Cricetulus griseus: one gene and its partners. The protein of the gene in region 1 interacts with the protein of each later gene in a pairwise test. Links are inferred from orthologs where the notes say so. Each region holds a gene or a part of one and is shown on either strand. Other genes may lie near its edges.

The links.
Region 2: the proteins of Trim2 (region 1) and Ubac1 interact in binary tests that used the Homo sapiens proteins (3 or more experiments, as listed by UniProt). The link is inferred for Cricetulus griseus from reciprocal best matches to the Homo sapiens genes TRIM2 and UBAC1.
Region 3: the proteins of Trim2 (region 1) and Lrrc8e interact in binary tests that used the Homo sapiens proteins (3 or more experiments, as listed by UniProt). The two-hybrid records come from large-scale screens. The link is inferred for Cricetulus griseus from reciprocal best matches to the Homo sapiens genes TRIM2 and LRRC8E.

Annotation. Positions count from the first base shown.
Region 1 is NW_023276806.1:70,189,969-70,195,984, forward strand, and holds the start of Trim2 (tripartite motif-containing protein 2), read left to right. Parts: upstream 1-2,593; 5' UTR 2,594-2,646; intron 2,647-5,366; 5' UTR 5,367-5,481; coding exon 5,482-5,532; intron 5,533-6,016. UniProt on the Homo sapiens protein: UBE2D1-dependent E3 ubiquitin-protein ligase that mediates the ubiquitination of NEFL and of phosphorylated BCL2L11. Plays a neuroprotective function. May play a role in neuronal rapid ischemic tolerance.
Region 2 is NC_048599.1:137,377,719-137,383,065, reverse strand, and holds the end of Ubac1 (ubiquitin-associated domain-containing protein 1), read left to right. Parts: intron 1-3,146; coding exon 3,147-3,262; 3' UTR 3,263-3,668; downstream 3,669-5,347.
Region 3 is NC_048597.1:89,041,582-89,046,827, forward strand, and holds part of Lrrc8e (volume-regulated anion channel subunit LRRC8E), read left to right. Parts: intron 1-1,087; exon of another isoform or gene 1,088-1,124; coding exon of another isoform or gene 1,125-1,445; exon of another isoform or gene 1,446-1,504; intron 1,505-3,165; coding exon 3,166-5,246. Other genes in the region: 60S ribosomal protein L36a-like, read left to right, coding at 1,125-1,445. UniProt on the Homo sapiens protein: Non-essential component of the volume-regulated anion channel (VRAC, also named VSOAC channel), an anion channel required to maintain a constant cell volume in response to extracellular or intracellular osmotic changes.

The DNA.
Region 1 (6,016 bases):
AATGGCCAGATCAGAAATAGCATTTTGTATTATCCCAAGTAGCTTACTTTCTAGGAGAATCTGCTTTGCTTGAGAATAGGTTGAATGCATTTCAAGTGCCTTAAATTGAATGAATCTTCATATTCAATAACATCAATAAATTTTGGGGTCATGGGATTCCACAGTCCCACTAACCTTATTAGGTCTTGGTCTTATGACTGTGTACTGTCTATACATTTGCAAAAGTGCATACTGTGGTCAAACTGACTGATGACTGTTAATTCTGATTCAGTTGAATAGAAACAAGTAGAGGGTGGAGGCAGCTCAGAGGGATTAGTAAGGTATGGTGTGCCTTAATTGTTTGTTTGTTATGGAGAGCAAACCCAGCACCTTATACAGGGTAGTTTCAAACCTTGGTTGCTTGGACCCAACACTGTGGGTGAGACAGTACAACATGGGAAAGGGCACAGTGGAGCAGAGCTGGTTACCTCAGGTAGGCCAGAAAGTGAGAGCGCAGGACAGAAGGACAAGGTTCATCTTTTCAGGACACGCTCACCTCCTAATTCCAGTACCTCTCTCTCAACAATGCCATCAAATTTATGAAGCCATCAGGGGGTTAATCCCTCAATAAAGTCAAAGTGCTCACAATTCAATTACTTCCCAGAAGCCCCACCTCCAAACTCTAGGACATTGGGAACCAAGCCTTTAATACACGGGCATTTGGGGGGGGGGGACATAATATCCACATTTGTGAGAGGACACTCCAGCAGTGCTTGTCTAGGACTCTCAATTCCAGTGATCTAGCTGACCTCCCAGCCTTTGCTTGTGCTGGGTCCTGTGTGCATCCCTCCATGGCTGCCCAGGGCATCCCCATTCCTCTTGCTGTCAGGACTTACTCTTACTAGATAACCGCCTGCATGCTAAAGTCCATCTTCTGTATTTGATTATGGCATAAAGGCTCAGAGTCTGTTAAGTTTTTTATGTCTTCAGGACCTACTCAGTGCCTGAAACACACTAGATAATCAGTGAGTGTCATGGAAGGATTGAATAAGTGCACTTTCTTTAACTACAAGCCCAGCAATAAGACTAAGGACCACCCCCACTTCCTGCCTCATTTCTTCGGCATCATTTCCCAACATACCAAGTCAGACACCTTTGTGATGGCCTGTCTTAGGGAAAGGACTTTGTAAACTGATGTGAGGGGTCCTGCTTGTAGTTTTAAGAATTGATCCCAACTGCATTATAAATTTCTGAGGCAGAATATATGTCCACCTAAAACCCTGTACACAAATGTTTATCAGTAGCATTATTCATAAGAGCCCCAAGTCAAAACATCCCTGATGTCCACTAACTGTTAAGAATGGGTAATTGCAGCTGGGCAGTGGTGGTCCATGCCTTTAATCCCAGCACTCAGAAGGCAGAGGTAGGCAGATATCTGAGTTCAAGGTCAGCCAGGTCTACAGAGCGAGTTCCAGGACAGTCAGGGAGACATAGAGAAACCCTGTCTAGATAGATAGATAGATAGATAGATAGATAGATAGATAGATAGATAATGATTACAAAGTTCTATCCTCATATAATGGGATACTGTCAATAAAGGGAATATAATACTGATATATGCTATCATGGATGAACTTTTAAAATGTGCTGAAAGGAAAAGGCCGGACATATATAACAATATTTTACATGACTTCATTGCCATGAGTCTAGAGCAGAAAAATCTTTTTGTATTTGAGTCCCCTACAAGTTGAAGTCTATACAGAAAGTAGATTAGAAAGGTAGGTGGTGGCAGCTTAAAGCTACAGGGTTTGATTTGGTTTTGAGGTAGTGAAAACCTTGAACAGTTGAGTATGGCAATAGTTATCCACATCTGTGAATATGCTAGCAGATTTTGAAATAATGTCTTCTTCTTATTGTCAATAGCACTTAGGCTACTACTTAGGTAGGCGGATCTCAGTGAGTTTGAGGCCAGCTTGGTCTACAAAGAGAGTCCCAGGACAGTCAGAACTTTTACACAGAGAAACACTGTCTTGGAAAACAAAACAAAAAAGACAAAACAAAACAAACAAAAAACCATAAAAAGCAGAGAAATGTCCTCTGTATTGTTTGACTTTGTGGAACTGTGTTGCACGGACCTTTTTCTCGGAGATACATTGGGTGGGGAGCAAGAAGAGGCTGTGGAGCCGAACTGATTTTGCATTTTAAACAATCCCCCTTCTTTCAATCTACTTGCAAAATCTACATCCAAAGAAACAAATTTTAGTTTAACTGATGAAAATGCATGCTGTCACACCCACCCAAAACACTCCTCTAAATCTGAACTTTTCATCAATTCTGGAATCTATTCTTCCTGCCTTAGCACTGGCTTATATGACCAGCATAGCTTCTTTCTGATTCGTAATACCCTTCAGTGGGTACCAGTCCTGTCCACAGGGCAAGGAGACTGGTGCTCCACGCCTCCTGGGGTTAATCCTGCAGTCGGGTTTGGGGATGGAGCCTGGCGGCCTTGCACTGGAGCATGCTAGCAGCTGACTGCTGACTCAGAGGGGAAAGCCAGCCACCCGCGAATCTCTTTGCAGCTCGCTGCTGCATCCCTATCCCACAATCCCTTGCTGCAGTGTGGCTTGCTGCAGTCCTTTCAACAGACGGCTGAGAAAAAGATGTCCTGTAAGATAAAGATTGATTGGTCTGAATACGGAAGGGGGTCTCCTACTTGTTAATGACCCAGAAACATTCCTGCCGACTTTCCTGAGCCTTCTCTCATTTCCTCCATTTTTTCTCTTCCTCTGTCCTGTTCATGAGCTGGCACATCTCTACTTAGAGCAGAAGATAATGCTGGGCTTCTGATGATGGCTGCATTGCATGGTAGGGAATTTTAACCAGCCTCTTTGCATGGTGCTTCCAAACTTGAGACGGTAGCAGAAATGTGCATTGTTCTTTGGGGTGGCCGCGGAGCTGCAGCGATAGCCTGGAGGGGTTGTCTTTCTTTACCTCGCTGACTTTTCTGTTTATCGGGAGAAATGGGAACCTCAGTGTTCCAATTGCTTGCTGTTATTTCTGGCGGATAACTGCTCCTACTGCTCTAGCTTCCCTTTCATGGTGATGCTGCATGCTCTTTAATTATAAAATAGGGGAAGACCCACACTGCCTAAACAAAAGCATCAAATCAGCAAGTATGGGGAAAAAGCTATTGTGAACGGATTAGATTTTTAACCTTATTCGTCGCTATTTTAGTGTTGTCTTGGTTTGTTTCAAGTAGAATTACATTTCCTGCATCTTGATGTTTGGATGAAGTATTGAATTTACAGGGTTGCTTCCTGGCTACTCCTAGGTGGAGGATGTGCGATTCTACCCTTCCCCCACCCGGCTCTCTGCCCTGGGTTGAGCTCCTGGCCTCCGAGTTACCATTGGAAACCATTCATTCATAATGCATGACTCGACCCCCTGGATTCTAGATGCATCAAACATTTCTTTCTGACAAATTTTCCTGCTATGGGAGTACAATCAAATCTGGGTGGAGCTCAATGGAAGGACTGTTAGAGGGAGAGAAATTCCTGGGTTGGCCCTTAGTTCTGCTTCCTCGAATCATGGGTAATTTTTGTGTCAGAGTTTTTTCTGCAAGAATGCCCCACCCTGACATTAATCTTCATTGTACAGCAATAGGAAAGCCAGTAGGAAGGCTATTTGTTTCCAACTAAAAATTGAATGTTGAATAAATGAATTCTGGAGCCAAAAGAAAATATTTGTGTCTGAATAAAAAATGGGTTCAGTGTCACAGCTTCCAAGATAGAGACTCTGAATGAGGCATTTAAAAAACTTATCAGTTGTTCAGCTTATATTACAGCTGCTTTATTCCATGGGTAAATTACTAGAGGTTTTTGAACACTGCAATATAGAAAGAGCCATTTGTTTGCTCGGATCCCTAAATTGGAGTCTGCTTCTCATAGTGTGAACTGATTTTCAGAGTACTTGCCTTGTTTTTAGGCAGGTGCTTTTGCCGGCACTGTTCGGACCCACTGTAGTGTTAAATAATTCAGGCCACTGGAGGGCCAGCCGGCAAGCACACAATGAGAAGTTTCATGTATGCTGTGGCACGAGGAAGCTCCTCTGGTGCCCGGCCCTCCAACCCTCGTTAACAGCCCTTCCTGGCCCTCTAAAGAGCTCTTCTAAAAAGACAAGTGATTTGCATTGCAAAGATTGCAAGACAATGTAAAAAATCCTCTGACAGAATGGGCTGTTTGAAGATTGATGAATGCACCATATTTAACCCACACATTTTTTAAAAAGATGGGCAAGTCTGTGTACCTTCTCACCTCTGAGGATGTCACAGTCCTAAAGCTAACTTAATGTTTTAAATGTATGGGACAACAAAAGATTAGTGGGGATCACGAAAACAAAGTAAAAACACTTATTCTTTGTCTCAAGAATGAAAATACCCTTCATTTGGGTAGCTTTTGACATTGGTTTCTATAAATTCAACACTCTTATCTGCCTGCACTGAATAGAAACCCTAATTGTGAAGCCATTTTTTTAAAAAAATTACCAAATCTTAAATTTTAAGAATCTCCTTGCCTCTTTTCATTATTTCTCTGATAATACTAATGCTCTGACAAATGTTTTTATATATTAAAACACACAGGAGGGAAAGAAATGTTTTAGGTTTTGAAAAATGATGCAAATTATCTTTGTTTGTCTGCCAGAAAGGAGGTGGGGCTATGTGAACATGAGTGAGCCCCTGCCTTGTTGAGGATCCAACAACAGGGCCATGTGCTTGCCAAACAAACACTCTTAGAGCAAGGCCCCCAACTGGATCACAGTTTATTTCTTCAAAATGTTGAGTCTATTACTTCTAAATTGTAGCAGCATGATTAACTTGAGCGCATCTGCAGTGGCTTTAAAAAAAATCCGTGGCCTCCCTCTGTTACTTGACTACTGCAGGAGTGCTTCAGGTCAGAGCATAGTTTGCTACACGGCCAGTGGCTATTAGGGTTTTCTGAGTATTCCTATTGTGCAGGTTGTCTGAATTCAATGGATCAGGTTTCCCCCTGAAACTTGGAGCCTTAGATTAGAACAGAGAATAAGGGGTGTGGGGAAGCCAAGTATTCAAATGGCATCACTTGAAGGAGCCACGCATTGCTACTTTTTGTATGCCAGTCTTTCTAGCCACTTCTCTGCCTTCTTCTGCCTTCAGTTTGGATATCTTCCCTTTCTCTGCTAAGCCCTTTTTATTCTTTTTCTTGAAACTTATCAGTGAAGGAAGCACTTATTCTAACTCACAGCAGAAACAGCATGCTTCCTATGTACCAGAGGCAAGGGGAGGGTTATTATCACACGGGCTTGTGTTTGGGGGAGTTCTGAGATGAAATACTTTTCTCCCTTTTTGTCAGCCCCTCCCAGCTCCCAGAAGGGATCCCCACCCCTCAGCAACATGGCTGCTCCCTGCCTTTCTTGTGCTTTGGTAGTCTCCAGAGGGAGCCTAGAGGAGCCATGGCACAGTGATGGATGTGGGGAGAAGAGACCCCACTCATCTTGATTGTTCCAGGGCATGACAAGGTAAATGTCAATTAGCTCCTCCATTTAACGCTGCTCACACAGACAGACTGGGCCCTTTGGAACATTGAAAGCCCAAATCAAAGCTGAAGAGAGTGAGGACTTGAGGAGCTCTGCTTAGAAATCAACATCTGAATGGAAATGCCAATGCATCAAAGGAAGTTGTCACACACATCCATCCCTGGCAGTGGAAGCAGAGCTTTCGGGAACTTGGGCACACCTTTGCCTGGAGACTGAAGTTAAAGGACAGGCTCTCACCCTTCAAATGTGCACATGTGCGCACCCATACACACACACACACACACAACACACACACACACACACACACACACACACACACAGGCTTCTAATTTACAAAGTGGCTCCCCTGGGATCAGGCTTGATTTAACTGAAAGTGGGTCACCCTGTTTTCATTTCATAGGAAGACTGCCCTCTTTCTTCTAGCTGAGTCATCAGTAACAGTTCGAATTCAAGTACAGATGAATGA
Region 2 (5,347 bases), on another chromosome or scaffold:
CACACACCTTTAATCCCTGCATTCAGTAGGCAGAGGTAGACAGATCCTTGTGTGAGTTTGCCAGGCTGTTTGTAGATCTTAAAAAATTGATAGGTACTGTCTTGGGATCTGACCAGAGGACTTTTTGTGTGTGTGCTGGGGATCCAGGGCCTGGCATGCTAAGTACACACTCTGTGACTGAGCTTTCTTGTCACATGTCACTATGGGTCTTGCTGTGTGGAGGTCAGTGTGTTTTAAGGTACATTTGGTCAGGTAAAAGAAACTGGGTGTTTAGTCTTCTCTTTTTTAGACCACCATATATATATGTGTGTGTGTCTGTAGCTAGTGCCACCCCTTTCCTCCTTTTCTGAAATAACCCTCCCAGAGTGAGCACCTTAGTCTGCAACTGCTTGGGTATGGGCCAGTAGACAGGACCCAGATCATAGACTGCTCTCCCAGCCACAGTCTGTTCACAGGGCGGGGCTGCAGCCACCCTGCCTAACAGGACTGAGCTGCCTGCAGCAGTGGCACTTGGCTCTCGGCCACATCTGCACTGCAGACCCGTGCCATCTATGCAGTATTCCTGTGAAGGTCCACAACAGCCAGGATGGCCTGCTTGTACCATCCCCTGCAAGGGTCACACCCTTTTCAAGCTCTAATTAGATATTTTTGATAATGTTTAATAATAAAATTAAAACAACTACCGTGGGCTGGCTCAGTGAATAAAGATTCTTGCCACCAAATGTGACAACTTGAGGCCAATCCCCGGAACTCAGAGTAGGAGAGAACCAGCTTTTTCAAATTGCCCTCTGACCTCCTTGCACACTGAGGCCTGCCCTCCCATTAGGTAAAGAGATTAACTTAAAAAATTAAGAAATCCCCAAACCCATGGCCTTTATGTTTTAGCAGAAATATATTTTAGGAAATTTGTAAGTACAAGTCACCTTGACTCCCTTTTGGTGTGTGTCATTGTGGTGCTGCTGTTTTTCAGGTCTTGCTGGTCTGCTTAGGCTGGCCCTAAGCCTGTACTGCCCTCACGCCTTAGCCTTCCATGTGCTAGGTGTGCCACTGTTTCTGGCTTCTGGGCATTTGGATGTCTGTGCTAGTGGGACAGTGGTCCTGCAGTATTGTTTGTGTGACTCTCACGAACATGGAGGCACTGTGTTATTTTGACAGTATGGTTCCCTGTTTCTGGTCACTTAAGTTGCTTTCTGTCTAGCTACTGTAGGACCTGCTGTGGCAGCAACCTTTTCCTGTGCACTATACTTGGTGCAGCTCCTATTTCCCAAGGATGAGCAGCATCAGATGACCAAGTCAGAGGCTGGGCATCTGAGCTCTTGCTTGTCTTGTCTGCCTGCTCTCCCTTCTACCATCACCACCAACCATGAAAACACCTACTTCCTCCATTGTCAAAGGCTTGATTGCTTAACCATTTAAGAACTGTGTCTTAGCATTGTGGAATACTTTCTGTTGGCTGTCTGCCTCTTTTTTTTTTTTTTTTTTTTTTCTGAAATAGGGTTTCTGTTGTAACAGCCCTAGTTGTCCTGATACTAGCTTTGTAGACCAGGCTGACCTGGAATTCACAGAGATCCACCTGCCTCTGCCACCATGGGCCAGCATGCATCACTTTTTAAAAATACTTATTTATTATGTACACAGTGTTCTACCAGCATGTATGCCTGCACTGCAGGCCAAAAGATCCCATTATAAATGGTTGTGATCCACCATGTGATTGCTGGGAATTAAACTCAGGACCTCTGGAAAAGCAGTCGGTGCTCTTAACCTCTGAGCCATCTCTCCAGTCCCTGCCTCACTTCTTTTATGTATTGCCCCTGGATATTAGGCATATGTGTTTGTATTCCTGTATGTGCAGATGAACATGTGTCTGTGCCTGTGATGCTTGGGTGTCATTCCCCGGCTGCCCACCGTGTTTGTTAACATTATTTATGTGTGGGGGGGGAGGGTTTGCATGGGCATGTGGGGGTTAGAAGACAGTTTTCAGGAGTTGGTTTTTTCCTTCTGCCTTGTGCGTCCTTGGGATGGAACTCAGGTCATTAGACTTAGTGTCAAATTCCTTTACCTGCTAAACCATATTGCCAGCTCCCATTTTGTTTTCTGAGACAAGGTCCTTCATTTACATGGACATTGTAAGTAGGTTAGGCTGACTAGCCAGTAAACCCCAGGATCCTCCTGTCTCCACCTCCCTAGTACTGGGATTACAAATATGTGCTCTCATGGCCTGCTTTTTATTTGGGTGCTGGCGATTAAATCAGGTCCTCGTGCTTGCATGGCAAGTGCTTTTATCCACTGAGCCATCTCCCCAGTACTAATCTAGAAAAATCAGTTTGTTGGGTGTGGTGGTGCACACCTTTAATCCCAGCACTCTAGGAGTCAGAGGCAAACAGATCTCTAAGGTGGAAGCCAGCCTGGTCTACAGAGTGAGTTCCAGGACAGCTAGGACTACACAGAAAAAGCCTGTCTCGAAAAATCAGGAGGAAAAAAAAAGAAAGTTTGCATTTTGAAGAAATGCTTTGTTACATTTTTATTTTTGTGGTCTAGTGATGGACCCAGGGCCTGTGTGTGCTGAGCAAATGGTTACCGTTGAGCTGTACTGCAGCCTTCTGTGACAGGTTCACTGTGCTTGAACATGTAGGTTTTTCCAAGCTGATGGTGTTAAATCTGCTGGAGCATATTTCTTCCAGGGGTTATGCACATGGTCATTTCCTGTGGTGTCTGGAAAGGACGGTTGCAGACTGACTTTTGAGTCTCACTGGTGGCTTTCCAGAGTTGAGGTGCTGTGAGACTAGGCTGTTGACTGCCCCCACTGATGGTCTATGAGCTGGAGTCCTGTGAGCACACAGGCAGTCCATGGCTTTGTCAAAGGTGTAAGCAAGGGCAGCTGACCACCCTGCTGATGGGCCATAGGTTGGGGGTGCTGTGATCACAGATAGTTTACTCCCTGCTGATGGCCCCTGAGGTCTGTCTTTTATTCTCAGATGTGTTTGGTCAAGGGGTCAGGCACTATGGTTGGCTCTTAAGGGTGAGTGCCAGGGTCAGCAGTGAGCTCTTTGTGTCCCTGCTGCCTTTCATTTCAGGACCACTGAGAAGGGCTCAGTGTGCTCACTGGTGTTTTGGTGCTGCCATTCAACTCTGTTGTCTTTCCACAGCATTTGAAGACATGCTGGAGAACCCACTTAACAGCACACAGTGGATGAACGACCCAGAGACAGGCCCTGTCATGCTGCAGATCTCTAGAATCTTCCAGACATTGAATCGCACGTAGGTGGTGCCTACTGTGCTCCTTGGCTGTGCAGCCTCAGCAGCTTCCGATGCAGTGGGCACAGGGCCCAGCCGGGATCTTGCCTGGATCACAGCTGCAGTGACTCCCCTTTCTTGACCTTACTGCTTATCAACTTCTGCCACGTGGTTTGAAAGCCGCAGTCCTAGCTTCTGCCAGGTGTTTACAGGAAGTGGCTATTGCACTGGGAAGGTGAACGACTGCTGCCCCATCCCCTCCAGATGCTCTGCTGGGCTCCTGAAGTGCTACTTGAATTGACCCTAAGGTGTTTGCTTGTGGAGCCCACTGTATTTTAAAGAAGGCATGTTCTGATCCAAGGTGTTATGTCAAGTGTGCTAATTTAACCAGAGTGACTCACAGATGGCTTTAATAAATAAACCCTTTTCCTATTTTCAGTTGTGTTACTCCACAGCAGCAAGGACACCACATGTATTCCTCTAGGCTGTTTGCATGCTGCCTTTGCCCAGAGCAGGTGTCATAGCCACTTCTTTTTTTTTTTTTTTCCCAAGACAGGGTTTCTCTGTATAGTCCTGGCTGTCCTAAACTTGCCCTGTTGTAGACCATGCTGGCCCCAAACTCAGAGATCCTCCTGCCTCTGCCACTTAGAGTTCTGGGATTAAAGGTGTGCCCCTCCCACCCCTCAACCCCGGCTTTCATTGCCACTTCTTTACATTGGGAATCTTGATTTTCTGGACTGGCCTAGCTCAAATTAGGTTTGGGGGCTATGACATTGCTGGAACCAGGCCTTTTCCCCCTAGTACAACTGGTAGAACAGGGAAGTTTCCTTATGCCATCCTTTTCTCTCTCTTCTTAAACACTATGCTTTTATTTTTAAAAATTCAAGCGCTGGTGTGTGTGTGTGTGTGTGTGTGTGTGTGTGTGTATGTATGTGTGTACACACACACACACGCATGGGTTTGTGTGTTCGTACATGCGCCTTGTGCCACAGTGCACATATAGAGATCAAACCTACCCAGGAATTGGTTCTTTCCTTCCACTGTGGTCCCAAGATCAAGTTCAGGTGTCGTGTTTGTGCAACAAGCACTTTTTTTTTTTTTTTTTAATACCTTCTGACTCATTTTGCTGGCCATGAAGGAGTCCCTTGCTCAGTGTTACTGTGTAAAACTCTCAAGTGTATTTAAGCATCTATGAAGCAGCTGCACCTGTCTGACCTATACCTCCCAGGTAGATATAGCCACAGCCTTGGCACTCACCTTGTTGCAGTTGAATCATAAAGCTCTAAGAACATGTTTCTAGGTGCTGGGGAAGTAGCTTAGTGGGTGAAGTACTTGCTATGTAAGCATGAGGACCTGGATTTTAATCCCTAGCACCCATGTAAAAAGCCAGGTGTGGTGCACATGCGTGTAACCCCAGTGTTTGGAGAGGGTAAGTGGAGTTTTGATCTTGGAGGTTAACAGTAAGCTGGAAAGTGGTAGAGGAAGATATATAACAAAGACTGTACTCCAGTCCCATCCCAGGGGGATCTGCCTCTCTGCCTAGTGAGTGGAAGAGTCAGGGAGCCGGGGAGGGTAGAGGGATGACTCAGTGCCTAAGAGCACTTGCTCTTCTGGCAGGGAACTCAAGTTTAATTCCCAGCATCTCTGTTGGGTGGCTCACAACCACCTGTTTGACTCCAACCCAGATCCAGGAGATCTGGGTTCCTCTTGTAGTCTCTACACACACATCCAAATATAAAATAACGGGACTGTGGAGGCCATGGGAGTGCCCTGTACTTGGGGATAGGTCCTGATGCTCTAGGCTATTGTCCAGGATCTCTGTGTGTTTTCTACAACACTAGTGTCCTCAGAGGGGCCAAGTAGACAATCAGCTGTGTCCATGTGACAGCTTGAGAAACTAGCATAAACTGGCTCTGCAAAGGGGTCTTCATTTGGAGAGAATAGATTTCCTGTTTGTTCGGTTGGTTGGTTTTTAAGAGACAGGGTTTCTCTGTGTAGCCTTGGTTGTCCTGGAACTCACTCTGTAGACCAGGCTGGCCTCAAACTCTGCCTGGACTCTGCCTCCTGAGTGCTGGGATTAAAGGTGTGCGCCACCCCCAACTGATATGGCTGT
Region 3 (5,246 bases), on another chromosome or scaffold:
ATGCTAATGGCTGGGGTCTCAGATTGCTCTTTCCAGGTGATGGGGGAGGCCAGAGAGTGGTAAGGATGTGAAGGAGTGGCACCACACCTTGACAATGCTCCTCATGAGGGTCTTTTTTTTTTAAAGATGTATTATCTTTTATGTGTTAGAGTGTTTTCCTGCATGTATGTATGTGCACCACATGTAGTGGTAGGAAGAGTGTGTTAGATTCCTTGGAACTAGAGTTATGGATGAGAGATGTTTTTGTTTTTTTCTCCCCTTTGTTTTTTTGTTTGTTTGTTTTTTGTTTATTTGTTTGTTTTTTTGGAGTCAGGGTTTCTCTATGTAGCCCTGGCTGTCCTGGAACTCGCTCTATAGACCAGGCTGGCCTTAAACTTATAGAGATACACCTGCCTCTGCCTCCTGAGTGCTGGGATTAAAGGTGTTCACCACCACTGCTGGCTGCTTTTGGGGGGTGGGGGGTTCAAGAGTTCTTAACCACTCTCTAGCCCCTACTGCCATGAAGGCAACTGACTTCACTATGGCTATGCCCCTGACTGGGATCCTGAGCTGTACTTTCCACATGAAGGGCAGAACTCTAAGAGGGCATGGTCTTACCATGGCAGTGCTTATGATCTGGGGGGTTCTTCAACTGTACTGTACAGATGGGTACAATCCCACCATGATGATGAGATGCGGAAGTGTCGTCAATTGCACCCTCCAGGTAGGTGGCTCTCTCTAAAGGGGTAGGCCTTGTACTTGAAGTCCTGAAGCCTTCAAGTCACCCAAGAAGAGAGACAGAGAGCCTGGAAATCTTGGCAAGTGCCTATAACCCTAGTGACTCTGTAGGCCGAGGCAAGAGGATCACACATTTGAGGTCAACCTAGACATCTTAGCAAAACTCTATCTCAAAATAAATTTGAAGTCAGGTGTGGTGATGTACACCTGGAATCATAGCACAGAGGATGAGTTGGGACCTCTTGGGCTACACAGTGAGACCCTATCTCTAAAATGAAATAAGTACATAGAAAAGGAAAAAATATCAGTATTAGAGCACTTGCCTAGCTTACATGAGGTCCTGGGTTCAATAAAAATATCACCAATAAAATAAGAGAACTTTCTGTGCCAATATCGCTCCCGCCAACATGGTGAACGTTCCTAAGACCCGCCGGACGTTCTGCAAGAAATGTGGCAAGCACCAGCCCCATAAAGTGACACAGTATAAGAAGGGCAAGGATTCTTTGTATGCCCAGGGAAAGCGGTGTTATGACAGGAAACAGAGTGGCTATGGTGGGCAGACTAAGCCTATTTTCCGAAAAAAGGCTAAAACTACAAAGAAGATTGTGCTGAGGCTTGAGTGTGTTGAGCCCAACTGCAGATCTAAGAGGATGCTGGCTATTAAGAGATGCAAGCATTTTGAACTGGGAGGCGATAAGAAGAGAAAGGGCCAGGTGATCCAGTTCTAAGCTGCTCTTGGTATGGAGACAATAAAATCACAATAAAAGAAACTCAAAAAAAAAAAAAATAAGAGACAAATAAGAGGGAGCCAGTGCCAAAGCCCACACAGACCTATTCTGACCCCTACCTTCCTCTCCTCCATCTCCAAGGGCAATGGCATTATAGTCTACAGTAATATTAGGGTGTTTCCCCCCACACACACTTTTATCTTTCTTGTGGCAATGGGGATAGAACTAAAGGCTTCTAGTGCTACACAAGGGCTCTACTGCAGAGGCAAAGTCAAAGCCCCTCATGGGGCGGGGCATTCTATAGACCAGAACTCTACCACTGAGCTGAATCCTACCTACTCACACCCTTTGTCTAGTGTCTATTGAAGTTGTCTAGAAGTTGCACCCACTCTGAAGCCCAGGCCTCAGTTCCCAAGTAGCTAGGACTATAGGCTAGCATCACCAGGCCCAACTTCTTTGTCTTATAGATGGAATTTTGTTATTGATAGAACCTTAAACTTTTTTAAAAATTTTATTTATTTGGTTTCTTGAGACAGGGTTTTTCTGTGTATTCCTGGGTGTCCTAGAACTCACTGTCTAGACCAGGCTGGCCTCCTGAGTGCTGGGATTAAAGGGTGTGCACCACCATGTCTGGTTTCAGAGCTTAAAAAAAATTGATGAACTGTGATCCTCTTGCACCCACTTCCCAAGTACTAGTATTTCACATGTGCACACAACACTCAGTTTATGCAGTGTTGGGATGGGACTCCAGGGCTTCACCATGCTGGGTGAGCAGTCTACCAGGTGAGGTCCATTTCTGCCCTATGTTACTTCTGCAAGGATACAGTCTCATGGGACTCATCATAGCCTTACTATGACTACCTGTGCAAAGACCCTACTTCCAAATGAGGTCACGGGCACTAGGGGTTGGGATTTAGTTTCTTTTTGTGGGACCACAATTCAACACAATCATATACCCTCACAATCTTTTTTTTAAAATATTTTATTTATGTATACAACATTCTGCTTCCATGTATATCTGCACACTAGAAGAGGGGCCAGATCTCATAACAGATGGTTGTGAGCCACCATGTGGTTGCTGGGAATTGAACTCAGGACCTCTGGAAAAACAGGCAGTGCTCTTAACCTCTGAGCCATCTCTCCAGCCCCTCCTTTTTTTTTTTTTTTTTTTTGAGACAGAGCGTCTTTTTTAAAAAATGATTTTATTTATTTGTTATGTAAATAGTATTATGTCTGCTTGTTTGCCTGCATACCAGAAGAAGGCATCAGATCTCATTATAGAAGGTTGTGAGCTGCCATGTGGTTGCTGGGAATTGAACTCAGGACCTCTAGAAGAGCAGTCATTGCTCCAGCTTCAAGAATCAGAGTGTCTAGGCTGACCTTGAACTTTCTATGAAGCCAAGAATGACCTTAAACTCCTCATTCTCTGGCTCCCATCTTCTGTGTGCTAGGATTATAGGTATGTGTTACCAAGCCCAGTTTATGCATTGGTGAGAATCAGAATGGGTACATGCTAGGCAGGCACTCTACCACGTTAGCTACCCGCCCACCCCCAATATTCTTTACAGATGAAGATTGATGCTGATGCTGAAGTTTTAACAGTTCTTCCACATTCAAACAGCTGACCGCAGTCTAGGCTCAGTGTCTCCACCTCATTCTGTGTCTCTTCTGTACAATTCCCCAGTTCCTTCACTGTCTCTCACTCTCTTCCTTTCCCCAGGTGACACAGGACAAGATCATCTGCCTGCCCAGCCATGAACCCCGAGAGAACTTATCAGAGGCTCCTTGCCAGCAGCTCTTGCCTCAGGGGGTCTCTGAGCAGATGGGGGGCCTCCGAGAGCTGAGTGGCCTTAAAAACAACCTAGATCTCCAACAGTATAGCTTTATTAACCAGCTCTGCTATGAGACAGCCCTCCACTGGTATGCCAAGTACTTCCCCTACCTGGTGGTCATTCATACTCTCATCTTCATGGTCTGTACCAGCTTTTGGTTCAAATTCCCTGGCACCAGCTCCAAGATTGAACACTTCATCTCCATCTTGGGCAAGTGTTTTGATTCCCCATGGACCACTCGGGCCTTGTCTGAGGTGTCTGGAGAGAACCACAAGGGCCCAGCTGCTGGACGGGCCGTGGTGACCACAGTATCCGCAACAGGGGCAGGCTCAGGAAAGGCAGGTGAAGGTGAAAAGGAGAAAGTGCTGGTAGAGCCAGAAAAGGTGGTGACTGAGCCTCCAGTCGTCACCCTGCTGGACAAGAAGGAGGGCGAACAAGCTAAGGCCCTGTTTGAGAAAGTCAAGAAGTTCCGTGTGCACGTGGAAGAGGGTGACATCCTCTACTCTATGTACATCCGGCAGACGGTGCTCAAAGTGTGTAAGTTTTTTGCCATCCTGGTTTACAACCTGGTCTATGTGGAGAAGATCAGCTTCCTGGTGGCCTGCAGAGTAGAGACCTCGGAGGTCACAGGGTACGCCAGTTTCTGCTGCAACCACACCAAGGCCCACCTCTTCTCTAAGCTGGCCTTCTGCTACATCTCCTTTGTGTGTGTCTATGGCATCACCTGCCTGTATACACTCTACTGGCTCTTCCATAGGCCCCTCAAAGAATACTCCTTCCGTTCTGTGCGTGAGGAGACGGGCATGAATGACATCCCGGATGTTAAGAATGACTTCGCCTTCATGCTCCACCTCATTGACCAGTACGACTCCCTCTACTCTAAACGGTTTGCAGTCTTCCTTTCTGAAGTCAGTGAAAGCCGCCTGAAGCAACTCAACCTCAACCATGAGTGGACACCTGAGAAGCTGAGGCAGAAGCTGCAGCGCAACGCACGTGGCCGGCTGGAGCTGGCCCTTTGCATGCTCCCTGGACTGCCTGACACTGTCTTTGAGCTCAGTGAAGTGGAAGCACTCAGACTCGAGGCCATCTGTGACATCTCCTTCCCCCCAGGGCTCTCCCAGCTTGTGAACCTTCAGGAGATCAGCTTGCTTCACTCCCCAGCCAGGCTGCCCTTCTCGTCACAGATCTTCCTGCGGGATCGCCTGAAGGTGATCTGTGTCAAATTTGAGGAGCTCCGAGAGGTGCCCCTCTGGGTGTTTGGGCTTCGAGGCTTGGAGGAACTGCATCTGGAAGGACTCTTTCCCCCAGAGATGGCTCGGGCTGCCACCCTTGAGAGCCTCCGGGAGCTTAAGCAACTCAAGGTACTGTCTCTGCGTAGCAATGCAGGGAAAGTGCCAGCCAGTGTGACTGATGTGGCTGGACACCTTCAGCGACTCAGCCTGCACAATGATGGGGCTCGCTTGCTTGCCCTCAACAGCCTCAAAAAGCTGGCGGTGCTACGGGAACTGGAACTGGTAGCCTGTGGGCTGGAGCGTATCCCCCATGCAATCTTTAGTCTAGGGGCTCTGCAGGAACTGGACCTCAAGGACAACCACCTTAGGTCTATTGAGGAAATCCTCAGCTTTCAGCACTGTCGGAAGCTTGTCACTCTCAGGCTGTGGCACAACCAGATAGCCTATGTCCCTGAGCACGTGAGGAAGCTCCGAGGCCTGGAGCAGCTCTACCTCAGTCACAACAAGCTCGAGACTCTTCCCCCGCAGCTTGGCCAGTGCTTTGGCCTCCGCCTGCTGGATGTGTCCCACAATGGGCTTCGATCCCTGCCACCTGAGTTGGGCCTTCTCCAGAGCCTCCAGCATCTAGCTCTCTCCTACAATGCACTAGAGAGCCTGCCCGACGAATTGTTCTTCTGCCAGAAGCTGCGGACATTGCTCTTGGGATACAACCACCTAACTCAGCTTTCACCCCATGT